Linked DNA regions of Caenorhabditis elegans. The protein of the gene in region 1 purifies or fractionates together with the protein of each later gene. This does not show direct contact. Each region holds a gene or a part of one and is shown in the gene's direction. Other genes may lie near its edges.

The links.
Region 2: the proteins of taf-1 (region 1) and parp-1 fractionate together in Caenorhabditis elegans (co-fractionation; one large-scale study listed by BioGRID). This does not show direct contact.
Region 3: the proteins of taf-1 (region 1) and prp-31 fractionate together in Caenorhabditis elegans (co-fractionation; one large-scale study listed by BioGRID). This does not show direct contact.
Region 4: the proteins of taf-1 (region 1) and ruvb-1 fractionate together in Caenorhabditis elegans (co-fractionation; one large-scale study listed by BioGRID). This does not show direct contact.

Annotation. Positions count from the first base shown.
Region 1 is NC_003279.8:13,858,585-13,866,286, forward strand, and holds the start of taf-1 (Transcription initiation factor TFIID subunit 1), read left to right. Parts: upstream 1-2,889; 5' UTR 2,890-2,891; coding exon 2,892-3,018; intron 3,019-3,083; coding exon 3,084-3,279; intron 3,280-4,673; coding exon 4,674-5,076; intron 5,077-6,070; coding exon 6,071-6,389; intron 6,390-7,694; coding exon 7,695-7,702. Other genes in the region: W04A8.6 (ANK_REP_REGION domain-containing protein), read left to right, coding at 835-967. UniProt on the Caenorhabditis elegans protein: The TFIID basal transcription factor complex plays a major role in the initiation of RNA polymerase II (Pol II)-dependent transcription.
Region 2 is NC_003279.8:2,919,879-2,927,890, reverse strand, and holds the start of parp-1 (Poly [ADP-ribose] polymerase 1), read left to right. Parts: upstream 1-3,177; 5' UTR 3,178-3,196; coding exon 3,197-3,289; intron 3,290-3,354; coding exon 3,355-4,074; intron 4,075-4,723; coding exon 4,724-4,846; intron 4,847-5,940; coding exon 5,941-6,518; intron 6,519-6,600; exon of another isoform or gene 6,601-6,705; intron 6,706-8,012. Other genes in the region: Y71F9AL.1 (tRNA (guanine(10)-N(2))-methyltransferase TRMT11), read right to left, coding at 1-210, 866-935, 979-1,066, 1,114-1,332, 1,947-2,177, 2,229-2,471, 2,527-2,646. UniProt on the Caenorhabditis elegans protein: Poly[ADP-ribose] polymerase modifies various nuclear proteins by poly(ADP-ribosyl)ation, a post-translational modification synthesized after DNA damage that appears as an obligatory step in a detection/signaling pathway leading to the reparation of DNA strand breaks and programmed cell death.
Region 3 is NC_003279.8:5,124,008-5,131,243, forward strand, and holds prp-31 (U4/U6 small nuclear ribonucleoprotein Prp31), read left to right. Parts: upstream 1-3,820; 5' UTR 3,821-3,842; coding exon 3,843-3,932; intron 3,933-4,006; coding exon 4,007-4,119; intron 4,120-4,167; coding exon 4,168-4,285; intron 4,286-4,333; coding exon 4,334-5,527; 3' UTR 5,528-5,604; downstream 5,605-7,236. Other genes in the region: mat-1 (Cell division cycle protein 27 homolog), read right to left, coding at 185-339, 390-745, 794-1,292, 1,340-1,481, 1,525-1,680, 1,726-1,825, 1,869-2,076, 2,272-2,447 and 3 more; Y110A7A.7 (Fungal lipase-type domain-containing protein), read left to right, coding at 5,772-5,981, 6,039-6,155, 6,218-6,529, 6,692-6,861, 6,911-7,040.
Region 4 is NC_003283.11:9,975,164-9,982,738, reverse strand, and holds ruvb-1 (RuvB-like 1), read left to right. Parts: upstream 1-1,936; 5' UTR 1,937-2,042; coding exon 2,043-2,108; intron 2,109-2,155; coding exon 2,156-2,251; intron 2,252-2,328; coding exon 2,329-3,040; intron 3,041-3,097; coding exon 3,098-3,555; intron 3,556-3,604; coding exon 3,605-3,703; 3' UTR 3,704-3,948; downstream 3,949-7,575. Other genes in the region: tofu-1 (Schlafen-like protein 1), read right to left, coding at 64-619, 674-998, 1,051-1,255, 1,303-1,338; unc-41 (Putative stoned B-like protein), read left to right, coding at 6,513-7,286. UniProt on the Caenorhabditis elegans protein: Possesses single-stranded DNA-stimulated ATPase and ATP dependent DNA helicase (3' to 5') activity suggesting a role in nuclear processes such as recombination and transcription.

The DNA of each region.
Region 1 (7,702 bases):
AAATTGGATAAAACTGTTATTTTTAATCAATTTTCATCATTTTTTAGTGAAAACCTCTAAAAACGAAGAATATTGCTATTTTCTGTGGAAAAAACCCAAAAAATACGGAGAATTTTGCTTTTTTCAGAAGAAAATTGCTTAAAAATTGGATAAAACTGTTATTTTTAATCAATTTTCATCATTTTTTAGTGAAAACCTCTAAAAACGAAGAATATTGCTATTTTCTGTGGAAAAAACCCAAAAAATACGGAGAATTTTGCTTTTTTCAGAAGAAAATTGCTTAAAAATTGGATAAAACTGTTATTTTTAATCAATTTTCATCATTTTTTAGTGAAAACCTCTAAAAACGAAGAATATTGCTATTTTCTGTGGAAAAAACCCAAAAAATACGGAGAATTTTGCTTTTTTCAGAAGAAAATTGCTTAAAAATTGGATAAAACTGTTATTTTTAATCAATTTTCATCATTTTTTAGTGAAAACCTCTAAAAACGAAGAATATTGCTATTTTCTGTGGAAAAAACCCAAAAAATACGGAGAATTTTGCTTTTTTCAGAAGAAAATTGCTTAAAAATTGGATAAAACTGTTATTTTTATTCAATTTTCAACAATTTTCCGCTAAAATCACTCGCCCCTTTTACCACGCAAAACATGGTGATTGGCGGAACCCGCGAAGCCGTCCGCCGCTCAAATTGCGTATAAAAGGACGAATTTTCTATGGGTTTTCGCATATTTTTCATGATTTTTCCTAGTTTTTCGGTGGAAAATAGCTATTTTTAGGCGGAAAATTCCAATTTTTATTCAAATTTAGTCAATTGTAACCCATTTTTATTCCAGATTCGGCAAAAACGAGCGTTCGGCGTTGGCAGAATTCGAATATCTTCAGGATATGTCTACAGACGTCTCGGGGCTCCAATCAAGCCCTGAACTCGGACAATTGATGGGACAACTGCAGCAACAGAGGATGTAGAGCTGATTTTCAGTGGAAAATTCTAATTTTCTGTGAAAAAAATCGAGTTTTTTGGGTAAAAATTCATAGAAATCTGAATTTTTCCCCCAAAAATTGAATTTTTAGTCAATTTTTACCATGTTTAACCCTAATAAATCCCCATTTCCCCCCCCCCCCCCCCCCCCCCCCCCCCCATTTTCGTGTCAATTTTCGGGTAAAATTCCCATTTTTCGCTTGTATTTTTGCCCATTTTTCATTGTTTTTTCTCTCGAATTTTCTCAGATAATCAATCAATTTAATTGAATCTTTTTTTTTGTTGAAAAAATTGAATCATTTTCCATAATTTTGTCATTTTTTTCCCATAATTTGAAATGAATTTCTCACTTTCCTATTTTCGCTATTCTTTTCCGGTTTTTTCGGGGGGAAATCCTCGAAAAAGTGTAATTTTGCACTTGAATATTTTTTTTTTTAATAGTTTTTCTATTTTTTAGCTGAAAATTCAATTTTTAAACGTTTTTTCACATAAACCAACGTTTAACAGAAATTTTGTTTTAAAAATCGGTAAAAACCGAATAAAAAGTGAAAATTCGAAGAAAAATTTAGAAAAAAACAATTTTTATTCAAAAACTCTAATTTTGCTGTAAAAATTTGGAAAAAACTTATTTTCATCACATTTTTAGTCGCTAAATTCAATTTTCAGTCGAAAAATTGAATTTTCAAGCGAAATTTTGAATTTTCAGTCAGAAATTCTGCTAAAAATTGCAAATTTCATGAATTTTTCTTCAAAAATTTCATTTTTTAATGCCAAAATCCAATAAATTCCACAAAATCATAATTAAAATTCGAGTTTCAATTCCAAAAATTCTGAATTTTCCACAAAAAAAAGATTTTTTCCGCACTTGGTTGCTCACACTACAAACTACACAATTTTCTAGCCTCACTCAACTTTTGGTGAGGCTTAAAAAGTTGTAGTTTGTAGTGTCGGCCTCAACCAAATGCATTTTTCGAGCAATTTTAAGCCGAAAAGTCAGAAAAAACTCAACTTTTTGCCGAAAAACTTTGAAAAAATTAGATTTTCATAACATTTTTAGTCGAAAAATGAATTTTCCCGGTGAAAAATTAAATTTTTCAGCGAAATGATTGTAAATTTCATTTTTTTTCTTGAAAAGTCTAATTTTTATGCGAAAATCAATCAAATTTGAAGAAATAATAATTAAAATTCGAGTTTCATTCAAAAAACTGAGAACTTTCCCCAAAAAATTAGTTTTTCCGGAGTTGGTTGAGGCTCACACTACAAAAACTACAACATTTTCTAGCCTCGCCCAACCTTTGGTGAGGCTGAAAAAGTTGTAGTTTTTGTAGTGTGAGCCTCAACCAAATCCATTTTTCACTCAAAATCGAGCAATTTTGAGCAGAAAATCCATTTTTTCCGTGAAAAAATTTAAAAATTCGTGAATCATCAGGTTTTTAGAATTATTTTTAAAGTTATTATCGTAATTTTTTCCAATTTTCTACAAGTTTTTAGTCTCACCAAAAGTTGGTTGAGGCTAGAAAATGTTGTAGTTTGTAGTCTGTGCATTTTTTGGTGTTTTCTTCTTAATTTGCACAATTTTGATTCATTGTTTATTCGGAAAAATGGAAATTTTATCGATTTTCAAATTCAAATTAAATAAAAATTCAATTTTGAGACTAAATTAATGGTTTTTTTTTCGAATTTTTCAAAATTTCCGTTTTCTTTTTTTTCTCTGAAAATTTTCTAAAGAATATCAATAGACAGAACTCATGAATTTTCAAAATTCAAAATCTCTAAAACTCAAAATCGAGCAACTTTGAGCAGAAAATTCAGAAAATATTCAATTTTTTCGTGAAAATTTCTTGAAAAATTCGTGAATCTCCAGGTTTTTAAAATATTTTTCAAAATTTTTTATTGTAATTTTTTCCAGTAATGAACAATACACATCATCACACAAATGGGTATCGAACGGAAAAGCCAAAAAATGAAGAAGATCTAGAGGATCCTTACGCTAATCTCTCGGATTTCTACAAAAATCATCCGGCAGCACGGAATGAAGGTAGCGAAAATCGAAAAAAAAAACTTTGGAATTTCACTAATTTTTCATTTTTTTCATTTTTTCAGCATGTTCGTCAGCTTCTAATGGCGGCTCTAAAAGTGTGAAAATGGAGCCAAAAGTGGAAAAAAATGAAGAATTTGAAGAATATATTGGTGATCCTGTACGATTAGAAGATATGGAACCATTTGCAAGACCATCACTTCGAGATGATGCACCACTTTCATCTATTTTACATCCGGATCTTGATGGAATTGATCCGAGGTACTGAAAACCACAAATTTCTGTTGAAATTGACGTTTTTTACCGGAAATTTCCACGAAAAACTCAAAAATTCTATCAAAAATCACTGAAAATTGGGAAATTTGACAAAAAATTTCATTTCCTGCCGAATCCTGTAATGTGTAGTATGAGATGTGTGTGGTATAAAAATTGACAAATTTTAATTTAATAACATTAAAAAAAATTTCATTTTTCTCTAAAAACTTTATTTTTTTTTCCATTTTTACAAACTTTTTTATAAAATCACCCGAAAATTCGAATTTTCTTCGGAAAATCTATTTTAAAAACTCTGAAAATTGCTCGAAAATGACATTTTTTGAATAAAGTATTCCAAAAATGCTCAAAACGTGCTGTTTCTTCCAAAATTCCATAATTTTCTTTTAAAATTCCGCAAAATTTGCTTGCCCTTGAAATTGAAAACTGAAATTTTTTGAATTTCCCGCCAAAAGTCGATTTGGAAAGAGTTTTTGCTGGAAAAATCAAAAATTTCGACAAAAAATCGTAAAATGGGATTTTTTTTTCAAAATTTTTCGAAAAAAAATCGAGTAAAAGTGACGATTTTTTTTTCAATTTTTGTTGAATAAATCGAATATTCAGTAAAATTTTCATTTTTTTTTCTCGAAAAATTGATAGAAATTCTAATTTCGTTGGAAAAAACAAATTTTCACTTTTTTTAAGCATGAAAAGCGCCATTATTTCAAAAAATTGGCAAACATTTGCCGAAATTCGAATTTCGCGCAAAAATCGAATAAAAGTGACGATTTTTGTTGGAAAAATCGAATTTTCACTGAAATGTTGGGTTTTGTTTTATTCGAAAATTGAAAATTGAAATTCGAATTTTGCTCCAAAAGTCAGTTTTCCAATGAAGTTTCATAAAAACACACAAATACACAATTTTTAAGTCAAAAAACCCGAAAATTGGCAATTTCTGCAAAAATTCCTTTAAAAAACTCAAAAATTCACTCAAAAATCGTTGAAACCCGTGTCACTTTTCCCCGAAAAAACCCACAATTTTTCCACACAAACCCATGGTTTTCCTAGCCATCAGAAATCTCATGTAAAACTCGAAAATTTGCTTTAAAATTGTTAAACCTTTTTTTCGAGCCAAAAAAGCCAAAAAAAGCCTGAAAATTGGCCAATTTCTGCAAAAATTCCAAAAAAAATGGTTGAAACCCGTCATTTTTCCCCTGAAAACTGGTTTTTCTCGCCGAAAAACTCGAAATTTTGATGTAAAATTGCTAAAAACTGCTAATTTCTTCTAGAATTCCATAATTCTCTGTTAAAATTTCCAAAAAAATTCCGAAAATTCGCCAAAAATTCACGCAAATCACTGAAAACCCCCATTTTTCCGCAAAATCCTTTAATTTTATTTTCAGAATCTTCTTCAAAGACTTCAATCCAAACAAAACTCTTCGTTTCTCTCGACTTTTTGCTCAAAATATCAAACATACGTCCCGTGCCGAGATCTGGTGGGCTTCCCGAACCTTCTCCAAACATCAACGCAAAAAAGAGCCCGAAGAGCCCCTCGCTGATGACGTCATCGTTGGAGCCAAAAAGCTGAAGCTTAACATCATTGAGAAGGTGCCACGTGTCATGTTGGCTGACGATGAAGAAGAACGAATGCGGAGACCGATACTGACGGATGCAGAGGAAATGGCAAAGAAAAATGAAGAGGGTACGGTAGTTCAGCCGTGGAGAACGGGTCCCGCCAAGATTTGGTATGATATGATGAATTTGCCGATGACTAGTCAAGCTGTTAATTATGGATTCAAACTGAAGGTAAAAATAATGAAAATTTGCAGAAAATCGGCTGAAAATTGCTCAAAAAAATGGAATTTCCTTTGAAAAACTGACTTAAAAATGGCTGAAATTGGCTAAAAATGATCAAAATTAAAGTTTCCTGGTAAAAAATACACTGAAAATGGCTGAAAAATGGCTGAAATTCGCCAAAAATTGAAGTTTTCAATAAAAAAAACCCTAAAAATCGCACTAAAAATCTGAAAAAATTACCAAAAAAGCGCAAATTTGACACAGTTTGCTCAAAAAAATTTGGTTGAAGCTAGAAAATTTCGTAGTTTGTAGTATGAGCCTCAACCAAAATTGAGAATTTTAAATTGGTTGAGGCTAAAAAGTTGTAGTTTGTAGTATGAGCCTCAACCAAAATTGAGAATTTTAAATTGGTTGAGGCTAAAAAGTTGTAGTTTGTAGTGTGAGCCTCAACCAAAATTGAGAACTTTAAATTGGTTGAGGCTAGAAAATGTTGTAGTTTGTAGTGTGAGCCTCACCCAAAATTGGTTGAGGCTAGAAAATGTTGTAGTTTGTAGTGTGAGCCTCACCTTAAATTGGTTGAGGCTAAAAAAGTTGTAGTTTGTAGTGTGAGCCTCAACCAAAATTGGTTGAGGCTAGAAAATGTTGTAGTTTGTAGTGTGAGCCTCACTCAACAATATATTTTTAGTTGAAAAACGTGATTTTCAGTCAATTTTTGATAATTTTTAACTAAAAATTCCTGAAAAATATAATTTCCAGCTCAATTCCGACAATTTTCCGGTTATTTTCACGGCTTAAACAGCATTTCATGAGTTTTCAGACAATTTTCGGTCATCTTAGACAATTTCATCTCATTTTGTCAATTTTATAATCAAATTTTATCGTTTTCCACTAATTTCTATAGTTTTTTTTTGTAGAAAAATCGGAAAAAATTGCTGAATTCCTCAAAATTTCAAAAACTTCCTCTCGAAACTTTAATTTTCAATTAATTTTTTAACAATTTCAGAAATCTCCTCAAAAAGTATCAATTCGAAGTGGAAAACCGCTCAATTACCGTACCCCGGATGATCTACCATCCACGTCATCAGGCCCCGCCCCAAACTCCGCCCCTTTCTTGGATAAAGTGGAAGTAATTGATAAAAGTTGTGAAGCTTCAACATCAGAAGATATTCTATTACCATATCAAGTAATTGAATGGGAAAATGATGTGATATTAGATGGAGAAGAAGTTAAAGATCAACTTTTGGAAGAATTTTCGAATGGAAGAGGTTGTGGATGGATTCCCACACAGTATACGAGAACTTATGAGCATTTTGTATATGCTGGTATGGATGAAAATGTGAAAAAAAGTGCAAAATTCGTGAAAACGGCAAAATTTTGACCTAAGAATGTTAAAATTTGGATAAAATTACGAATTTTGGCCCAAAATCGCCAAATTTTGATGAAAATTTCAATTTTAGCATAGAAAATTGTGGAAAATAGTAATTTTGACTTGAAATTGGCAAATATTTGTCAAAATTGCCAAAACTTATGAAAAATGACCAATTTTGACCGAAAAATTGCTGAAATTCGTGAGAATTCATCAATTTTCTATTAAAATTGCCACAGTTCAAAAAAATATGCCAAAAATCTTTTAAAATGATCCATTTTGACTAAAAAATGCCGAAATTTTTGTAAAAATGTCAATTTTTGCAAAAAAATTGCCAAAACGCGTTGAAAATTCTCCAATTTGTAAAAAAAGAACAATTTCGACCCGAAATTATCAAAATTTGTACGAAATTCTCAATTTTCACCAAAACAAAAAAAATTAAAAAATTCGTACTTGAAAGTTTCAAAAATCGCAAATTCTGGGCTTCAAATTGGACAATTTCAGGAAATCTGAACCTAAAATTCAAGAAATGTACGTAATTTGTACTGAATAAATTCACAAATTTCAGACTTTAAAGGTGGTGCTGTCGAATTTTTTAAAAATTTCTTTATTAGACTCAGAATTGTCTGAAAACATCGAATTTCATAATGAAACTTTTTGAAAACTTTCCAAAAAAAGTTATGGCGGCTCGAAAAATGGTCTAAAATTAGTGAAAACTTGAAATTTGACCAACTTATCATTGTCGCAGCGGCTGGAAACAATTTTTTTTTGAAATTGTCGTCTAATTTTGGGTATGCAAGTTATTTATCGTGTGCTTTCAACACGGTTTAGGTATTTTAAAGTCGATGGACGAAGAGATTTGGTGAAAAAAATTGAAAAATCTCATCGACTTTAAAATACCTGAACCGTGTTGAAAGCGCACGATAATTTACTTAAATATCCAAAAGTAGACGACAATTTAAAAAAAAATTGTTTCCAGCCGCTGCGACAATCATAAGTTGGTCAAATTTCAAATTTCACTAATTTTAGGCCATTTTTCGTGCCGCCATAACTTTTTTTTTTGAAAAGTTTTCAAGAAGTTTCATTATGAAATTCGGTGTTTTCAGACAATGTTGAGTCTAATAAAGCAATTTTTAAAAAGAAATCGACTACACCAACTTTAAATCCTAGAAATCCTTATAATTTGGACCTGAAATCAAAATAATATTCGCAAATTTCGCACCTGAAATTGAATAAAATTGCTAATTTTCTAATTTTCCAGCCAACAAC
Region 2 (8,012 bases), about 11 Mb from region 1:
CGGCTGGTTTTCCTTGTCAATGGCTGCTCGCAATTCGAAATCAAATCCATTGCAGGATGGTTTGGAAGGTTTTCAGCGCAGTAGTTCTCGAGAATAACCGGGTACCAGAAGGAAATCCGTCCGTTGATCACTAGAAGACGCGCTGATAAATTGAGAAGATCACAGAATGCAGCTTCCAGGTCGTATTCTTCTTTTTGCTGGTATTGCACGCTGGAAATTTTACAGATTTTTAGATTTTAGGTAGAATTTAAAGGTGGAGTACCGAAATTTGAAACTTTGCTTTTTTAGACCCAAAATAGTCCAAAATTACCGAATTTCGTAATGAGGCGTTTTGAAAATTTCTCAAAAAAAAAAGTTATGGCGGTTCAAAGTTCGGCAAAATAAGGACCATTTTCAGCAAAAATCAAAATTTTTCCCAACTTTTCGGTGTTGCAGCGTCTGGAACTTAATTTTTATATATTCATCACTTTTTAATAAATATTGTGGCCTTTGATGAGGCGTTTATTCGTTGATTTAAGTAGATTTATGTTCTTTGGGACACAAATAAAAGTTACATTTTGTGCCCTTCTGACCATAAATCTACTTAAATCAACGAATAAACGCCTCATCAAAGGCCACAATATTTATTAAAAAGTGATGAATATATAAAAATTAAGTTCCAGACGCTGCAACACCGAGAAGTTGGGAAAAATTTTGATTTTTGCTGAAAATGGTCCTTATTTTGCCGAACTTTGAACCGCCATAACTTTTTTTTGAGAAATTTTCAAAACGTCTCATTACGAAATTCGGTAATTTTGGACCATTTTGGGTCTAAAAAAGCAGTCTCAAATTTCGGTACTCCACTTTTAAACATTTGAAAACTTACTATTCCTCCGTAGTATCTACTTTTTTATTTTTAACCGTTTTCCTCGCCTTTTCCCGGACTCCGTAAGGTGCTGAAGCAATAAAATTATAATTATACTGGAAAAAAAGCCTTACGATCTGCAACAATTGCGTCAAATTTCGCATTACAGCTCCAAATTCCGTGTTTGCTGGAGTCGGCGATCAAAACTCCTAGAAATTGACTCTGAAATCGGAATTTTAAGGTCAAATATTAAAAAAAAAAACCCCAACCTCCGACTTATACTGCTCGAAATTCGCCTTAATGCTCTCGGATTCACCTCGCTGCCCGACACCTTGCCGGGAAGATCGTCCTTGAGCTCGTGCAGTTTGATAATTAATTTCAGTTCCGATAACGAAAGCTCCGAACTCCGCAGCTGGAAGGATCAGGCCACCGGTGCCGACGAATGGATCGAGAACAATGTCGCCAGGGCTTATCATTGCCAGATTTGACTGAAATTTTTGGTTTTTTTCAGGGAAAAGGGATATTTTGAAGATGGAGCAAAACAAATAGTGAAATATTCAAAAAATAGTCTGAAATTCAGAAAAAAACATTTTTACACTTTCTTAAAGGTGGTGTAGTCGAAAAAGTCGAATTTTTTCTATATATTATTATTAGACTTAAAATTGTCTGAAAACGCCGAATTTCATGACGAAACTTCTTGAAAACTTCTCAAAAAAAAGTTATAACGGCTTAAAAAAAGACTTAAAATGAGTTAAAATTTGAAATTTGCCCGACTTGTCAAGCGGCTGGAAACTAAGTTTTTTGAAATTACCGTCTAATTTTGGGTATACAATGTTATTATCTTGCGTTTTCAACCTTATTTAGGTATTTTAAAGTCGATGGACGGCGAGATTTTTAAATTTTTTAAACCAAATCTCGCCGTCCATCGACTTTAAAAGACCTAAATCGAGTTGAAAACCCAAGATAATTAAATTGTATACTCAAAATTAGACGGCAATTTCAAAAAAGTTAGTTTGCATCCGCTTGACAAGTCGGTCAAATTTCAAATTTCCACTAACTTCAGGTCATTTTTTGAGCCGTCATAACTTTTATTGAGATTAACCTGAATAAAAGATAATTCAGGATCCATCGTTGTATTTCCAATATAACATCTATCACGTAAATTATATTTGGTTTTCAGCTCGGCTCGTCCTTCACCAATTAGTTTTCCGAAATAAACTTTCTTTGGAGCTTCATCACTGGGATTTTCGTATTCTTCCACTAGAAACAGCTCATTTTTGGGGGATTTCAGGCAAATTGGCGCTTTATTGAATGGGACCACGTCTAAGAAAGCCTGATTGAAAAAATAATTAATTTAAATTAGAATAAATTAATGATTTCTCACTTTAATCCGTTCAATACTGTCAAGTTTCTTTTTCCGCCCGATTGCAAAGAATCGAATCGCAAAGCTTTCCTCTAATTTATCGAATTTTTCTATTATTTCCGGCTTGTTATCAATTTGCTCATACATAATATCGTATGACTCTGCCTCGATCGATAATTCAATTGCATATTTGACTAGAATCGATCGTGAAAGCAGCTTCCGAACTTCTAGATGGCTTTCGAAATTGACGATGAACATGTGGTCCTGTAAGATAATTTAAGATAATTTTGTGTGGGGTTCTCGTAATAATTTTATATACCGTTGTGTTCAGCTTTTCCGATAAATCTACTTTTATTGAGAACATTGAGCAAATTGCTTCGAATTCTGCTATCCTGAAGTCTACATGACTTTGCGAGAAGATTACTAGCACCGGGAGCATTTTCTCTGCAAAAAATTGGAGATTTTTTCAGTCTCTTTCAACTAATGTAAATACGCTCTCTTGTGACTAAGCGCGCGCGTTTGAACCAGAGGACAATTTTTTTCCTCAGCGCTAGTAGCCCCTGAAAGAGTTATTCATACTTGAAAAAAGAAACTTTTCTATAGATTTCTGCATGAAAAATCAATCCTCAGCGCTTCTTCTCTTGCTTTTCCTGATTGTAATGAAATTTTAGAGTTTTTAAATTGTAAAAAAAAAACTAAACAAGTTCTTTTTGAAGGGAAAATTCGTTTTTAAATGCTTAAAATGCTTCAAAAAAAAAACAAATAAAAAAAATTGTTTCTGTGCATACACCGTCACGACAAAATGCAGACTTGCCATTGGTCTCGCCGCGAAAAAACATGTTTCTTTTGAAAGATTGTCTTAATTTTTTGATTTCAATCATGATTTCAATCAGAATTTTGCGATCTTTCAGCATTTTTATCTATTTTAAAGCTTTATAAATTAAAAATTAAATTTTTAAAAATCTTCCAGATTGTCATACGGGTCCCGGATGATTCATTCCAACGAGCCACTGCCCTACGCTATCGAATATGCAAAGTCTGGCCGGTCGAATTGTAAAACATGCAAAAAGAATATCGCGTTGGTGAGAGCTTTATAAAGCCTAAAAAGCCTAAAGCCTAAAATCAGCCTAAAAATTGAATTTTTCAGGATCAATTGAGAATGTCAATGAATCGCCCGTCAACATTCTTCGATGGAAACATGGATTCGTGGTTTCACTACAATTGCTTCTGGATAAAAATGATTCGCGGCCGAGATGACATCAATATAAGCTCAATCCGAGGAGTCGATTGGCTTCGCTGGGAAGATCAGGAAAAGCTTCGCCAGGAAATTCAACACTTTAAAACCGCATCGCCACCGACTCTGACACCCCTGTGCTCTACCACTACCGTCATTTTGTCCACAATAAAAACCGAAAAATCGTTGTCAAATCGTGGGAAATGTGGAAAATGCGGCCAAAATTTCGAGCGCGGCGAAATCAAGGCTCATAACAAGGGAAAAGCCAACCATTTCAAGTGTTTTCTGCAGGAATTTGATAAAATTTCCGGCACCGTTGAGGATATTCCTGGCTGGGCGGATTATGAGGAGAACTTTAAAATTAAGGCGGTTGGGGAGTATGTGGAGGCTTTAGCTGCGAAAAGGCGATCCACGGAGCCAGCTACCCCGGCTTCTGCCTCTCCAACACCACCAGAAGCTGAAACTCCAGTTTTATCTGCAGAAGGATCCCCGGAAAGCTCCAATAAACGTCCGGCAAGCTCTGAAATCATTGAAATCGACGGTGAAGGGAATCCAGATGAGAATGATTTTGCGAAGAAAAGACGAATGAAGAAGGAAGCAAGATTGATGGAGGTTCAGAAGAAGCGAATGAAGGTTTTTTTTTTTCAGTTTTAATGGAGGACTAACGGTTCGGACGATTTTGAACGTATAGACTCAAAATGAGCTCAAATAAACGAATTTCGTAATGAAACTGCTCAAAAAAATTTCAAAAATGTTTTATGGCGGTTCAAAATTTTGAGAAAATTACACTGATTTTGGCTAAAATCACGATTTTTTCCCATTTTTCCGTGTCACATCTGTCCGTAGTTGGCTTTTTTGGAATTATCGTCCTTTATTGCATACATTGGTAATTAATCTCATTTAATTTCGTCGATTAAGGTACATTTGAAGCCGATAGGTAACCAATTTCGATAATTTTTGGTTACCTATCGGCTTTAAATGTTATTTGATCGACGAAATTAAATGAGATTAATTACCAATATACGTAATAAAAAACGAAAATTCCAAAAAAGCAAACTACGGACAGATGTGACACGGAAAAATGGGAAAAATTCGTGATTTTAGCCAATATCAGTGTAATTTTATCAAAATTTTGAACCGCCATAAAATTTTTAAAAAAATTTTTTGAGCAGTTTCATTACGAAATTCGTTCATTTGAGCTCATTTTGGGTCTATACGTTCAAAATCGTCCGAACCGTTAGTCCTCCTTTAAAACGCTGAAAATTATTGGAAAAATTTACAGAAACAATCCGATCTTCTCTGGGAATACCGCCAGATCTTCGAAAGAATGCCGTACACCGACAAAATCTCTATATTACGAGAAAACGAGCAAGACATTCCAGAAGGACACGATCCGACTGCACAAGTACGGGTTTTTCAGTGAAAACTGGACAAAAACGTCGAGAAAATAGCCAATTTTCTGCATTTTTATACGAAAAAAATCGAATTTTTTTTCGGTTTTTTCCAGAAAAAAATCAGAATTTTCCCATTTGTTTTTCGATTTTTTAGCTTTTATAAGGGAAAATTGAAAAATCGAGGAAATTTAATCAAATTTTTGTTCGTTTTGATGGAAAAATATTGAAAACAAATTAATTTTTAATAAAAAAGAAGAAAATGGACAAAATTTGAAGCTATTTTTGGGGAAATCGATTTTTGTTTGTTGAAAAATCAGAAAAAAAAACCAAAAATTTTCGTTTTTGTTCCACAAGGGCGTCGTTTTTCCGATATTTCGAAAAAAAATTATCCATTTTTCCAAAAAATAGCCTAAAGTTTTGGTCATTTTTCTTGTTTTAAACAGAAAAAGGTCCCCATAATAATACAAACTTCCCGGCAAACGGGCAAATTGCCGAGAATGAAAAATTCCGGCAAACGGGCAAATTGCCGAGAATGAAAATTTCCAGAAAACCGGAAATTTGCCATAAGTGAAAATTTCCGGCAAACCGGCAAATTGGCGAATTGCCGTAATTGAAAAATTACAACAAACCGGCAAATTGGCGAATTGCCGTAATTGAAAAATTACAACAAACCGGCAAATTGGCGGCACTGAAAATTTCCGGCAAATTAGCGAATTGCCGGAAAATGGCAATTGTCAAAAAAAAAATTTCAAAAAGGCACAGTTTTCAGCGTTTCCGTCTTTAAAAAAAATCCCTTAAAACTTCCGGCGAACCGGCAAGACGCCAATTTGCCGGAATTGAAAATTTCAGCCAATTTTCCGATTTTGTCGACAAAAAAATTTGCCGAATTGCAATTGCCGCCCACCCCACATAAAAAACATGAATAATTTGTATAGAATAAGAAAAATGACCAAAATTTCAAGATATTTTTGGAAAAATCGATATTTTTTTTCGAAATATCGGAAAAACGACAGAAAAACAGAAATTTTTTGGTTTTTTTCCGATTTTTCAAAAAAAAAATTTTTTTTCGTATTTTCGCATTTTCAAACTTCAATTCTTTTTGCAGGTAATCGAACGCCTAGTGGATAATGCCCTATTCGGATGCCCAATCATTTGCCAAACATGTTCAAATGGAAAAATTGTCTATAATTCATCATGCCGCACATATGTCTGCACTGGATATGCTACAGAATACTCGAAATGTACTTATGAATCAAAGAATCCAATTCGAACTCCATTCGAAGTTTCTCACCGATTAACTGAAAAGCATAAGCTTCAAGATATTGTATTCAATCAAATGAGTGAACGACTTTATATAGGAGAAGAGGATGGAGAATCTGTAGTGAAAATTGATAAAAGAAAGTCGAAAGGTGGTACTCGTGGTGAACAATTCATTTATGCGGCTGAAGCATTCGATTCGACTAACAATGTTCCGATAAAAGTCGGCGATCTCACATCAACCAATACTCATATTATTAAAAAAGGAACAGTTGTTGATGCGAAATTCGCACTGGCCGATCGTTGTCATGTATTCAAAAATGAGATTGATGGAAGTCTCTATCAGGCGACACTCTCGTTTACTGATCTTACACAGAATAAGAATTCGTATTATAAGATTCAACTGTTGAAGGATGATCAGAGAGAGTGAGTTTTTGGCAGAAAATCCTCCGAAAAAGTCGGAAATTCAAGAATAGCAGAAGAAAAAAAAAGCGAAAATTTGAATTCCCCACCCAAAATGAGAACTGCTCAACCAATCAGCGATTGGTTCAATATTGGGTGGAGCACATCACTGATTGGTCGTGTAGTTCTCATTTTGGCGCGAGCAAAATTCTTTTTTTTTTAAATTAAAGCTGGTGTAGTCGAATTTTTTTATTGCTTTATAAGAATCAAAATTGTCTGAAAACATCGAATTTCATAATGAAACTTCTTGAAAACTTTTCAAAAAAAAGTTATGACGGCTCAAAAAATGGCCTAAAATTAGTTGAAATTTGAAATTTGGCCGACTTGTCATGCGGCTGGAAACTAACTTTTTTGAAATCACCGTTAAATTTCGAGTATACAATGTAATTATCTTGAGTTTTCAACTCGATTTAGGTATTTTAAAGGAGATGAACGGCGAGATTTTTAAATTTTTTTAAATCAAATCTTGCCGTCCATCGACTTTAAAATAACTAAATGAAGTTGAGTACGCAAGATTTTCTTAAATTACATTGTATACTCGAAATTTGACGGTGATTTCAAAAAAATTAGTCTCTAGCCGCTTGACAAGTCGGTCAAATTTCAAAGTTTAACTAATTTTAGGCCATTTTTTGAGCCGTCATAACTGTTTTTTTTTTTGAGAAGTTTTCAAGAAGTTTCATTATTAAATTCGGTGTTTTCAGACAATTTTGAGTATAGTAAAGCAATAAAAAAATGAGACGCCACCTTTAAGGATTAGCAGAAGAAAAAAAAACGAAAAAAATCGAATTCCCCCCAAAATGAGAACTGCGCGACCAATCAGCGATTTGCTCCGCCCATATTCGATCTGATTGGTGCAAAAAGTGGGCGGAGAACATCGCTGATTGGTCGTGTAGTTTTCTTTTTGGCGCGAGCAAAATTCATATTAGAAATGCGAAATTTTTTGGATTACTGTAGCCCCAAAAATATTACAGTAATCCAAAAACTAGGAAAAATTGCATAATTATCTGCTTTTTGAAATGTGCAAAAATTTTATTTTCCGAATTTTCCAATAATAAAATCGAATTCATTGTTAATTTTTTATTTGAAATTGAGTTCTCCAACGACAATTTTCTGGTTTTTTGGGTTACTGTAGCCCCGAAAGTACGTTATCAAATGTTTTTTTCGAAATACTGAAAAATTGAGATTTTTAAAACTTTTTTGCCCAAAAAATTGGTGGCCTAACTTTCAGTATTTTGGTGGCCTAGGAAAGATATCTTTTTCGAAAACAAAAATTGGTGGCCTAACTTTTTTCCTGGAGGTTCCTAGGCCACCAGTTTTTTCAGCGAAGAATTCGGAAAAATTCCTAGGCCACCAACTTTTTCTCAAGAAAAACATACATTTTCTATGAATTTTTGACCAAAAATTCAAATTTTCCGGTCACTTTAAGCGAATTTCCGTGGTTTTCCCGCCTTTTTTCAG
Region 3 (7,236 bases), 8.7 Mb from region 1:
AAATGAGTTTATAGTCTCAAAGCATTTTCTTCGACAGACTATATATATATATCCGCGATTAGTATAGAACAGAGTAAAAGTAAAAAAGAAAGAAAAGACGAGTGAAAAACCCGCGCCAAAAAAGACGATTATAGCACGAAATTGGCTATGATGAGCTATCGAGAAGTAGAACGAGTTATGAAAATTATACTGGCGATCCGTACTCGTCGTCCTCGTATTCCTCGCGATTGATAACATTCGAGTCAGTGATGTTCTGCTCGCCACGTGGATCCAGCTCAGCCGCCCAGCTATAATTAAGAAGAGCCAAATGAGTATTTCCCATTCTTCGGTGAACTCGTGCTGAAAAATTCAAATTTATATAAAATAGTATAACTAATTTTAATACGTACCAAGCAGATGGAAAATGAATGCTTCATCTGGCGAACTAGCTTTCAATTTATCAAGTTCCACTAGACATTCTTCATTTCGATTCGCCTCAAACAAGAGACGTGATCTATTGAAACGGCAAGCCACATCAAGAGGATTCAGAGTGAGAGCCCTGTCAATCAGCACGAGAGCAGTATCGATTTGTCCACGTTGTTGCTCGATTTGGGACAGTGTGCAGAGCATTGCACGATTCGTTGGATTAATATTAACAGCCTTCTGGATATTGGTCAGTGCAGTCAGATTTTGCTCTTTCTTTAGGTGAACCAACCCGAGACCATACCAGGCACGGTAATCGCGAGGAGAAAGGAGAAGTGCTGATCTGAAAATTTAATGTTTTAATTAAAAACTTTCATGATCCTATAAATACCTGAAAGATCCCGCAGCTTTGTCAAGTTCATCCTGAACGATAAGCTCATGCCCCAATAAAGTGTATGCGTAGGCGAATCGTTTGTCAAGTTGAATAGCCCTCTCCATACATTCAATTGCCTGAGTATGCTGTCTTTGTAATGAGAAGCAATTTCCAGCGGCACACCAACTCTGTGGCCGTTCCCGTGATTCAGTTGTCAAAATCTGAGAAAGAGCCGAAAGAGCATGAGTATCTTGAAGGTGCCACATTGAGGTGGACAATAGCTCGGTTCCGTCAACCTTCCACTTTCTACGTTTATGCAAATCATCGAGAATGTTCCGGCACTCTCTGTATTCGGATTGCTCGAAGCAAGCTCTTCCCAACTGAAGACGGACCATAGACGTGTTAAGAATGATATCTCTATCGAGTTTTGCGAATAAAGCATCAGCCGATCTCCAATTGTATGTACTGATTGACTCTTCAATAAGTGCAATGTGTTGATAAACATCAAATAATTTCTCTGAAGAACAAATAAAATCATTAATTTTTGATTAACTGATTTCATACTGTATTCTGGATCGTAAACTCCATCGACAATATCCATAGGTTCATCATTGTTCAAAGAAGAAGCCACAGAAGGGAGAGGAGGATTGATCTGGGATACCTCATCTTCTGATGGACGCTCACTAGCTGTTGATGCCACCTGAAGCTGCTAATAATTGAAGAAAAATAACTGGTCATTATATTCTTACAGAATTGGTAGAACCCGACAAACTCCGTGCAAGATTTGAGTTTCTGGATACCAAAGGTTGTTTTTCATTTCGTCTTCTTTGACTCAGAGTTTTGGCAGTCTTGTTTGCAGCAGCGGCGGCGTCAGCAATTCTGATTGAAGTACGCACAGGATTGGTCTAAATTTAGAAAATTATTAATTTCAGTGTCCAAATAAATGTTACCCTCTGGGACGACGATGACCCTCTGGTAACTGATGCAATTCCACTCCGAGTTCTCGTATTCGATGCATTCGAATTCTCCGTATCGCTGTTTAGTGCAGCACTGAAATTATTGAAATAAAATTTCAAAATCTGTCACCACTCACTTTGCGCGATTTCTAGAGCTATGTGTAGCCCTCGTGTGTGGTCTCTCGGGTTCTGTGAATAACGATGATCGAGATCCAGTGACTGAAGATTCGGTACGTCGTGTCGTCATTTCACTGATTCTGGAGCTTTTTCTCGGGGCAGTTGGATTAATACGTGAAGGTGTGGATCCAGGAGTGGATTGTCTTGGAGTGATGTTTGATGTGGTATCTGTAACTTTTAATTTCTGATTCAGCATGATCTTTCAAAAATTTTTAATAGTGGATTTTGAAAAATCGCATTTTTAGAGTCGGATTTTTTTCTAAACTGATATTCCAAAATTTTATTCTCCAAAAAAGAAAATCCTATAAATACTTCCTATAAATTTACGGAAAATTTTTCAATAGTTTTTTCCGCTTCACTCACTTCTTGTCTCGCGATTCGCCGAAGCAATCGTACCGCGTGTAGATCGTCTGACCGAACTTTCCAGTCTGGAAGGTTCAGCAGTGCTGGCAGCTGAAGAAGACGACGGCCCAGGAACATTTGGTGATGGTGTTTCGGATTTCAAACTCGAAGCTGGACTATCCAGGTATAGACCATTTCTATAAAAATGTCGGCATAATATTTAAATTTAAACATTCTCAGAATCTTACGATTTTCGGTGATGTTTTTCAAAAGTATGGGCGAGATCATGACCTCCAAACCGTAAATAAGTTATGATAGCTGACCACAACAAAATATTCTCATCCAGAGACTTTTGACAAGATTCTAAAGCCAGATCCATGTAACTTTCATCGCAAAGCATTTGAGCATGAAGCAAATTAGCATGTGATGCAACCCGTGGCTCTTCCAGGATATCTTTCCGTATCACTCCATCGTCATGTTCGAAAAGAGCTCCTCTACAGTCATCGATTCTAAAGAAAAATTAAAATAATGAATAAATATACATATATATTACAAACTAACTTATTTAAATCGTAGGATACCCTTGCAAGTAGATAGAAGAGTCTAGCTCCGCTCAATTTAACTGAACTAAGGAGACCATAACATTCCTCTTTCTTATTGGCTCTATACAGACAATCAGCGTATAGAAGAAGAGATTCGGAGTTGTTGCCTGAAAAAAAGTTATTGAAATTAAAATATGAATTAAAAACGAAAACCACTTTTATCGGTTTCGTAATGAAGCTCGGCTAGAAAAATAGCATCATCAAAAGCGTAACACTTCATCATTTCATGAATCTCATCTTCAATTGTTCGGTGTGCGTCCGCTGGAAAACGCTCGAACACCTCTCTCAATTGAGGCCGCACAGCTACAGACGCAGCTGATTCTTTCATTCTCTTCGCGACCTGAAGAAACGCTAAATAAACTATTAAATCGAGAAAAGCGGTGATATTCAAGAAAAGAGATATCGGCGAACAAAAGGGAAACGAAAATCAATTTGACCATTTCTCAAATACATCCCTTAGGTTATTGTATCGATTATACTGACAATTGAACTCAAACTTTAAAAACTAAAAGTGCCAAGAAATCGAAGAAAAATTGATCAGGCGTTCACATTAAATGAGGATCATTTGAGTTTTATCGATTGGTTTCAAACAAAGCTTGGAAAAAATGCAATAGTTTGCCAGCAGGCATGTGAACGTTGTATGAATCGATTGCCGAGAAAATGTCATCGAATTGAAGAGTAGATCATTTCCAGCGAACTGCAGCAATGAAGAGAAACGAGAAAGACGGGGAACGGCGTACAACGTGAACTTTTGCGCCCGACTACAGCCGGCGGCGGCCGGTCTTCAATTGTCGTCAGATGAGGTGCATTGCGTGCTTTTGTGTTTGCGGAGTCGCATACCGTACTTCGCAATCCTAATGTTTTTCGAAATTGTTTTTTTTCTTTTTCTTTTCTTTTTTTCTTTTTGCCTTGTTCATTTTTTCTTTTAACTAAGAGAATTGAAATACTATTTTAATCTAAAATTTCAGTTAATCTTTAAACTACCTAAAAATGTCGTTGGCTGAAGAACTTATGGCTGATTTTGACGATGACGACGATGAGGATTTGGAAGACATTCCAGATCTCGGAGAAAACCTTAAGGTAAATCGAATTTAAAATTTAAATTATTTAAAATCTAGAGTTTTTGCAGCATCTGATAAAATTGTAATTTTCAGGGCGTCAAAAAGGAAGAACTCGATGATGATATTGAAGAAGCAACAGAAGAACCGATGGATACAACTAAATATGCATCAGTGCACGATGTAGCAAAGCTTGCCAGATCTGATGAGTTAGTTTTAGTTTTGTTTTAATATATAATTTTAAAATACTTTTACAGATATTTAGCACTAGTGAAACAATTGGAAGTTGAACTGAAACGGCCTCAGGATGAAGTGAAGGTGACAGCTCCTCTTGAAGCAGATCCACAATACAAGCTTATTGTTAAATTATCCCACGTAAGTACATCATGAAAAAGAAACAAAAAAGGCAATGATTAATTTCAGGTCGCTGCAGATATCGACAACGAGATCAATGTGATTCACAAATTTGTTCGTGATAAATATGAAAAGCGCTTTCCTGAACTAGAAACGCTTGTTCCTAACGCGTTGACCTATTTGGCTACTGTACAGTTACTGGGAAACGAGATCAACAGCAAGGTAGTGAAAGAACAACTCGGCGGAATTCTAGATGCCTCAACATGCATGGTGGTCAGTGTAACAGTCTCAACAACACAAGGAGTCAAGCTTGAGCCAAATGAGCTGGAAACCGTCATGGATGCTTGTAATTTGGCTGCTCAACTTCATGTCAATCGTCTCGAAATGCACCAACTTGTAGAATGGCGAATGGCTCTGATTGCCCCGAATCTGGTTGCTTTGCTCGGCTCAACTACTACTGCCCATCTAGTTTCACAAGCCGGAGGATTGTCTCCACTAGCCACAATGCCATCATGTAATGTACAGGTTCTCGGAAAAACGAAAAAGAATTTGATTGGATTCTCAACAGTGTCCACAAATCCACATCATGGTTTTATCTATTTCCATCAGTTGGTTCAAAAGATGCCTCCAGATTTGAAAAACAAAGCGGCCAAAATTTTAGCTGCAAAAGTGACTTTAGTTGCTAGAATTGATGCTCAACACGAGTCATCCAACGGAGAAAAAGGCGCGGAATTTCTGGCGTTGGTGGAAAGTAAATTTGAAAAAATGTTGGAGCCACCACCAGTGAAAGCTAACAAAGCGCTTCCAAAACCTTTGGATAAGGCAAGTAAAAAACGTGGAGGACGTCGAACAAGAAAGATGAAGGAACGCCTCGGAATGACGGATCTTCGGAAAAGTGCCAATCGCATGAACTTTGGAGAATTGGGAGAAGATGTAATGCAAGAGCACATGGGATTCGATATTGGGCAGGTGAAGACCGGAAATGTGACTGGTGGAAGAATCCGAACAGCCGCAGTGGATCAGAAGACCAGAGCAAGAATGTCGCAAAAGATGATGCGGCAGATGGAGAGACAGAAAGCAGCTGGAGGAATGACAAGTATTCGAAGCAAAATGGCGGGAACTGCGTCATCTGTCACGTTCACACCAATTCAAGGTCTAGAGATTATCAATCCAGCTGCACAAGAACAGCAACAATGTTCATCGACTTCAAACTATTTCTCCTCGTCTGGAAGTTTTGTTAATATTGATCGGATGACTTTATAATATATTTATTTGTTACTTTCCTCTTCCTGAATTCTGAATTCTTGAATCTCAAACCAAATGAATCGACTTTTTCATTTATATAAAACTCAACAACTAAATACTAACCAATTGGTGGAATTTCTCCCCTCTTAAATATATCTTTACACTTATCCAATCTAACAACTTTTCACCTCGTAAACAACTCTCAATCCTCCCAATTTTCCTCTCCAGGTCTCAGTGATTTTCGATCGGAATTTCGACCCATATGCGAAACGGGTTCGCTCTTTTTTCATGTCTTTTCTTCTTTCTAGCTGATTGCAAGAAAGTAAATCGAGATTTTGACTATGAATTGAGCAAGAGAACTCTGGAATTCGCAGCGGCTGCGTATTCCATCGATCCGGAACCTTGCATCTCGAAAAACAATGCGACTTTATTGTTTTTCAAAAAGGTGGAGTGCGATTATATGCGTGACGAGGTAAAAGATCATGAGATCTTTAAATATTCAAAAATCATCTGATTTAATTTTTTCCAGTGCTGGAGTGTGATTGCTGCCGACAACGACACAATATTCGTCAGTTTCAGTGGAACAAAATCGAAAGAGCAGCTGGTAACTGAACTTATCGAAAGCATTGGTCGGCCAAAGCACAAAGTAGGCTCATGTTTCAAGTGTTTGTCTGAGTACTCACAGAGCAAAGAAAACTTATTTTACAGTTGCACAATGCTGGATCAGTTCATTATTACTTCTACTCTGCTCTAAAAACAATGTGGTCACCAATGGAAAAACTACTGCGAGGACTGAAAGACTCACTTCCAGATCATAAAATTGTGTTCACAGGACACTCATTGGGCGGAGCTATTGCAAGTATTGCATCGACTGTTTTCGTTAGAAACTTTCCCGAAACGTCGAGTCGAACCTTTTCAATCACATTCGGACAGCCTAGAGTTGGAAATCTCGAATATGCCATGACACATGACAAATTAGTTGCTGGAGGAAGCTGGAGACTGATTCATGGAAGAGATATTGTGAGGGAGACTAATATTTAAGATTTTTTTAATGCTTTATTAGGCTCAAAATGCACCCAAATGAGCGAATTTCGTAATGAAACTTCTCAAACAAGTTCGAAATTTTTTTCTGGCGGTTCAAAATATCCTCTTTCAAAAGACTATTAAAAGTTTTTTTTCTAGGTTGCACATATTCCGTTCTGCGTGGAAAGCTATGCCAGATGGTGTATACCATTCTACAATCATGGATCCTATCACCATGGAGTCGAAGTCTGGTTTCCTGGAAACATGACAAGTCAAGATACGTTCAAAGTTTGCACCGGGACTCCATTGAACGAGGACAATTTGTGCAGGCAAGTGACAGTGATCGAAATCACGTGATAAGAAAATCTTCTCTTACAGCAACACTCATCGCTACTTTGACATCAACGATCACCTGTTCTACTTTGGACACCACGTCTCAGATTACGGTGTTAATGGATGTGTAGACCCACCGGATGATGAACCATTAATAAATAATGAAAATGTTTAAATAAATTTAAAAATGTTGATTGAATTGCGATTCTTTTTCTCGTCGTTTCAACTGTTGAAAAGTCGGTTTGAGAGAATATTCTCGCTTCCGTGTGTCACGTATATTTTCTCAGGACTTTCTTTTTATTGGAGAGAGAGAGGAGGCGCCAAAGAAGATAAGACACCCGCGAACTCGAGTGTAAGAAGAAACAAGGGAG
Region 4 (7,575 bases), on another chromosome or scaffold:
AGATATAATGGAGGCGATATTAAGCGAAACAACGAACAAAACAAAAACAGAAGATTAACAACTTCAAACAGATGATTCTAAACGATAGACTTGATTACGGAGTTGTTTCACTCGAATGACAATCAGAAACGTCTCATCCATTTCTTCAACTGGAACGAAGTTCATGTCAACTACGTCGAGAATATTCTCAATTGGAGGTGCAAACTCGGTTTGAACAGCAGTATCCAGAGCAAGACGCAGATTATCTTGTTGACCAGGACCCATGTGGCATCCAGTAACTTTTCCGTCTTTCCCAATACCAAAGAGAACCACGGCGAGACGCTTTGAATTCAATGCATCACGGATTATCTGTTGGATGTCATGTGTCTCCATCAAGTTAATTTCATCCGCACTTCGAATATGAACATCCGTGAATTTGGTTCTGAATTCAATTTTGGCTCCAGCCTTGACAGTTGTTGTCAACTTTCCCAGTGTGATCAATTCTTTCAATGTCTTGTCTTTCTCGTATGCCATGGATACACATGAATCGATCCAGCGTTGATCGTGACGAGCAAATTCGAAACGAGGTGGACGAGACATGATTCCGTTGCGAACGTTGAAGCTGGTTCCATACACATTTCTGGAAGGATGAAGAGTTGAAATAGAAAATATTCAGAAAAGCTTCAAGACCTACTTTTTGGAAGCAAAATCTGGAATATCTTCTACTGATACGGCATGCTCTTCTTCGGTGATGTACTGCATATACTTCTTAAGTGAAGACATGTCGAAAGCATCCTTATTTTTGCATTTCGCATCAGAAGCTTGAGTTTCTGCAGAGGAAGAACTAACAGCTCCAACACTAATACCACTGTCCACATCCTCTAACTCGCTGCGATCGATGATATCAGGTTCAACTGAAGAGTCCAAGTCTTCGAAGAGTCCTTCAATTCGAGAATTCATCTGATCTCCTGCCAATGCTTTTCCAAGAAGAGCATCAAGAAGTGATTCCTCCACTTCGGCTGGAAAATATTTTGTTACAGAAAAAGAGCAAAAAACTATAAAACTGCTCACCTTGACCATCGTGAAGCTCGACAATTACTTCATTTTCGGAAGGGATGTCCACTTCTTCAGAGGATAATTCGTCATCTTCAAGTTCATCCACATTTTCAAGCTCATCATCGTCTTCAAACTCATCGTCGTTTTCAAATTCATCCTCGTTTTCATTTTCTTCGATTTCACTCAAAAAGCCGCTAAAATCTTCTTCATTTTCGGAATCCTAAAATTCTTGAATTATACTTTATTCTTGTTAATCCAGAAACTCACCGAATAAGAATCATTCTCTTCAAAAAGCGCAGCCATTGTTCCAAAAATAACTGAGACAGAATATTCGATTTCGAAGGATTGTCGAGGGAGCAGGATTTGGGACAAATTCCAGATAATTGTCTCAAAGTTGTGCTACCGTACTTTAAAGGTACATTGCTATTTTACATTAACAGGTTCCCGAATGGAATGCCATTTTTAATTTCTTGGGATCTCTATTGGTGATTATACAACTTTCGCAAATTCATTTTATTTAGAAAAGTTACTCTCGGCTTATATTTGACATTTACTTCAAATAAGAATATTATCTCTTTTTCCTCTTTCCCTTCCATTGAGACCCGAAGAACTCGGGGGATGTCCAACTGGGGGGATTACCAACTCGGGGGATTGGCCCCGCCCACAGAACCGTGGCTTGCAATACGCCCATTTCTGCAACTGCCGCACGGTTTTAAAATTATTTTTTCTTGTTAATTCTCGCTCTATTGAGAAAAATACAGTTTTAAAACCGTGCGGCAGTTGCAGAAATGGGCGTAATGCAAGCCACGGTTCTGTGGGCGGGGCCAATCCCCCGAGTTGGTAATCCCCCCAGTTGGACATCCCCCGAGTTCTTCGGGTCTCCTTCCATTGCTGTTTGTCTGCATTTGTGCGTAAAATGAGATGGCTGCACACATTTTCGAATTTTATTTTCTTTCCCTAAATTTCTATTTTTCATTCTATTTTCACGCTGACGCTTTCGTAAAATAATGGATATGGAAGTCGATGAGGCAATATCTGGTACTTCTTCTTCAAGACTTGCACCAATCGAAGAAGTGAGCTAATTTTTGAAAAACCTAGTATTTTAAATCGAATTTTTCAGGTAAAACCAACTCCAAAGCAAATTAAACGCATTGCGGCTCACAGTCACGTCAAGGGACTCGGAATTGACACAGAAACACAAGAAGCTCACTATGAGGTTTCTTTTTCAATTGTCCAATTTCAATAACTACTTATGAAATAAAGCCTATGCTAAATAAAATATTATTTCTACAGGCTGCTGGATTCGTTGGCCAAGCACCCGCCAGAACAGCTGCATCAATTGTAGTTGATATGATTCGATTGAAGTGTATGGCCGGACGAGCTGTATTGATTGCTGGACCACCCGCCACTGGAAAAACTGCAATCGCGCTTGCAATGTCACAGGAGTTGGGTGACGGCGTTCCATTTGTGCCACTTGTTGCAAGCGAGGTCTTTTCCAATGAAGTAAAGAAAACGGAAGTGCTCATGAGAAGTTTCAGAAGAGCTATTGGTCTGCGTGTTAAGGAAACCAAAGATGTGTACGAGGGAGAAGTTACAGAGTTGAGCCCCGTCGAAGCTTCAGATAATTCCGGAATGGGAAAAACCATCTCTCATCTTGTCCTTTCTTTGAAAACAGCAAAAGGAAGCAAGCAACTGAAATTGGATCCAAGCATCTATGACTCGATTTTGAAGCAACGAGTAGAAGTTGGTGATGTCATCTATATTGAAGCGAACTCAGGAATCGTTAAACGAGTTGGACGGTGTGATGTATATGCATCTGAGTTTGACCTCGAGGCTGACGAGTTTGTGCCAATGCCGAAAGGAGATGTTAGAAAGTCTAAAGATATTGTTCAAAACGTGTCTTTGCATGATCTGGATATCGCAAATGCCCGTCCACAAGGACGTCAAGGAGATGTTAGTAACATTGTTTCACAGCTGATGACTCCAAAGAAAACTGAAGTTACTGGTGAGTGATTGATAAACATTAAAACTCGAACCTTTCAATTTTTATTCTGTCTTTTAGATCGTCTTCGTTCTGAAATCAACAAAGTAGTCAACGAATACATTGAAAGTGGAGTGGCTGAACTAATGCCTGGTGTTCTTTTCATCGACGAGGTTCATATGCTTGACGTAGAATGTTTTACCTATCTCTATCGCGCGCTCGAGTCCCCAATGGCACCCGTCGTGGTTTTTGCAACTAACCGTGGAACCACAACAGTTCGTGGACTCGGCGATAAGGCACCACATGGAATTCCTCCAGAAATGCTCGATCGGCTGATGATTATTCCAACGATGAAGTATAACGAAGAAGACATCCGGAAGATTCTCGTTCATCGTACCGAAGCTGAAAATGTTCAATTCGAAGAAAAAGCATTTGATCTTCTAAGTAAAGTTGGAGCTGAAAAATCATTGAGATATGCGTTACAATTGATTGCTCCAGCTCGTCTTTGTGCTCAAACGTGTGGAAGAGAGGTCATTGAAGTAAGTTGCAGAATGTTGTAGTTCATGTATTAAATAAATCGCTATTCAGGTAGAGGACGTGGACCGTTGTACCAAATTGTTCATGGATCGTGGGGAGTCGTTGAAAAAGGCCGAAGAAGAGATGCGACAACCTAAAAATAAGAAGTGATATCCATTCATATCCGCACAACGACTCGGTTTTCCAATTTTGATTTTTCGCCAATTCATTTCTTGTTTTTTAAAATTATTTTTCTTCTTCTACAACTTATCTCATTCCTCTCGATCTTTCCTCAGTTGTTTCCCCACATGTTGAGGATCTTGTTATTTCGTTCCGATAGATCCCCCATTTTGCCCAATTTGTTGTTCGATTCCTATTTTTATACTGTTCCTAAAAAGAAAAAAAACGGTTTCAAGAATTGTTCGTAATGTTCACCAAAGCGGAAGGAGTGCATAGTGCACAGAATCGACAAAGAGGGACCCCGGCAATTCGTAATACGTCTTCTCCACGTCCCTGACGCCGCGGCATTTCCCTTCTTTTTCTCCCGTTTCTCTATCGATTCTGACAGAGCACATAGTCCTCAGCAGTCGTCGTTTCGCTTATTCCTCGCTCTATTCGCCTCCTCTTTGAGAAAACGAAGAAGAAGGGGGAAAGAAAACGAGGACGAAAGGAGAAGACAAACGTCTTCTGGGAGAGCTTTTGCTTGGAGCCCCCCGAGCACAAGAAGTAGACTCGTATGCTCATTTTTGCAAACTTTCTGTGTTTATGTCTCGTTCTCTTTTTTGTTATAGACTTATTAGCAATTTTTATAGACACATTCAGAATATGGAAGTATGGAGTTTTTCAGTTTTCCCATCATTAATTATTAGTAAGGGTGCAAAACAGGGGTGTGCGGCAAATTTGCCGAATTTGCCGAATTTGCCGTTTGCCGAGCTCGGCAAATTTGCCGAATTTGCCGAGCACGGCAAATTTCAAAAAAGTAGATTTGCCGAATTTGCCGAGCTCGGCAAATTTTGAGATTTGCCGCACACCCCTGGTGCAAAAGTACTCGAACCAATAACTTTTCATATGCTAAAAGAGCTTCTAAATTCCACCTGTTTTTTGAATATTCCTTCAAAAACTGCAACATTGACTTACGTTACACATGCTTATATCTTTCAGGCTAAAGATTAAGTAGAAGATTAGAACATATCAGCTTTTGATTATATGACACACTTTTTAGACCAAAAAAGTTACATTCTGTTAGAGGACATACCGCTTGAGTTTGACTATTTACGCAAAGTGAACATTTGTATGGCGAAATGAAGTTAAGAAAGCATTGTTCTTGAAAAGTGTAACTTAGGTCACTGTTTCAAAAAATTACCGACCTAGGTTCCAATAACATGCTACATCAACAGATATCAATACATTTGATTCTTTTAAAATGCCAACAGCTAATTCAAATTTCGAAACAGAACATTGATATTATATATTAGATCGTATTTCATTTTAACGAATCCTTACCTACTGAAAAATGCGTATTCGATGATTTTCCATTATAGCTTTTGTAAATTTACTACTGATATTTTTGATCAAGTGGGATACAACTGCTAAAGTCAACCAAGGGTCTCACGCTTACCGTACTTCTCTATTACACGAAAAAGTTATAGATAATTTTTTCAAAAGATTTTTCAAGTCTGCAAATTCTGATCTTTATTTTGTTCAATTTGTGAATATTCTTTCCCGTCAAAATCAGATTGAGAAAAAAAGGAAAAATTCAGTTAATTCGCAATTTCTCCTTCCCTTTCAGGCCTCTCGCTTTTCCTCCCGTCGTATCTATAATTGAATGTGCTAGTACTACCAATCGGTGTAGTTTTCGAAGAATGGATTCTACTTTTATGGATTTAGAAAACAATATTATTTGCACCATTTTAATAAATAGTCATGCAATTGGGGGCTTACAATTAGAGAATAGACTCGTGAAATATTAAAAAATCACTTATCTCATACATAAGCACTCAAAAGAAAAAGTAGAAGAAGAGTCTTGACATTCAAAATCGTCTCCACTTTCATTTTATTTTCCATATTTTCTTTCCAAACCCTTCCATTCTTTTTTAGGCATGACTCTTCGTATTTTATATGCATAGAAAGCCTAGGAGTAATAGCGGAAAAGGAGAGACAGGGCAGATTGATGGGTAGATTTCATGGGTTAGGCACCTTTTTGAAGATGGAAGAAACGAATGGAATGGATAATCTGAAAATCAATATATTCTTAGATTCAGTATTTCGTGTTTCGGCTGAAACCCAAACTACCGGTCCAAATATCCAAAATATCAAGTTTCCACTTGTTGACACACAAATTTTTCGTTTCTTCCGTTTCTTCTTGTCTTTTGCAAAACCTTTTTTGACTAAATGACGTAGTATATTGCCAAAATCTAAGTGAAAAAATAACCTTTCATAGTCTGTTTTGAAACAAAACTAAAATTGAGCCAATAGATTCAATGCCTAATCAATTTTTAATGAGGTGCATAGTGCAAGAAAAATAATAATATATGTATATACAGAAACAACCAATTTTTCTCTTATCTCAACTAAAAAAGTAGATAAATCTTTCTTTTATTTCAATATCTATACAAATATACCATACTTCCAATCTTGTTGCTAAAATTTGTTTTGCACTTATTAAGCCGAACAGTGTCTGACGAATCTTGTTTTATGACTCTCTAGTTAATGAATGTTTTGTGCATGTTTTGTCAAAAAACCCACAGGTACCATTAGATCACTTAAGGGAATACAAAAATGCCTTCAGTAATTTAATTCTATCAATTTTTTGAAATCCCTAACTTATCGAGAAAACTTGAAAATTTTTTTTTAACATAAGACATGGTCCCATACCGTTCCTGATTTTTCCCAAATTTTAAATAACCTAGACAGGCTCCAATTCTTTCATTTCTTGTCTATTTATTCATTAATCACAATGTCCCTATATTTTTAAGATTAGATGTCTTGGAGAGACCGTGATTTTGATCCACACGGTGGCCGAAATGCTTTCCGATTAACTGATGAATCGAAACAGTCATCTTCAGAACGAGCAGCTTCAATGAGAGCAATGCGTTCATTTACTCAATCAATTGAAGATGAAGGTCCACCAGAATTACCAGCTTCACTTGACATCGATATGATTGAAGGAGTCAGTATGAAAACATCTGATACAAATGACACAATCATTGAAGTTAAGCCTGGAAAGGTGGATCCTCAACTTGGAGAGACCCAGAAATATAAAATGGCAGTACCTGGTCCCGGGCACTCTGAACAAGAACAAGAACTTCACAAAAGTTTGATAAGGGACGAAGAAGAAGATGCAGAAGTTGAACAAGTATTTGCAGCATCTGCAGAACCAGTTGTGACACCTCCAAAAAGTTTGAACTTCGCTGAAACAGCTGAAGAACTTCGGCACGCGTATGATCAGAAAATTCGAAAAAGGCCTACAACTCCAACATCTGCGTGTGTTTTAGATGGAATCGCATTCTTTGCTGGAAGTGTTGATGGTTCTAATGATACAATTCCAACAGATGCAGAGAAAAAGATTAAAGTGTCGATTCCAAGTGGTCGAAGGAGAAAAACAGAGAATATGTCATATTCAGAATTTTACGAGTCGATGGCAAATCAGATACCCGGAGGTGGTGGTCGAAGGATGAGTCAATCTGGAAGAACAACTCCCCTTCATGACTATGAAGGAGATATTCTTGATGAAAATCCACAATACAAGGATAAAGTAAGTAATTAATTATTATTTTAAAAAACCGAATACAAAAAGAGTCTAGAGCAGATATGGACGGCAATTAGAATTTTCGACAATCCAGCAATTCTTCAATCGCCAAAAATTCCATTGCCGCCCAAACATGGCACAATTATTAAAAACTGCTTAAATTTGATTGTAAATTTTTTCGAAACTTGAAAAAGCTATTTATAAGTTTTTCAAAATTTAAAATTAGCCAATTCTGCTTCATGAATTGTCTGCTGTGCTCATTTTTCGGACACAGCTTATCAAGTTTATAAATATT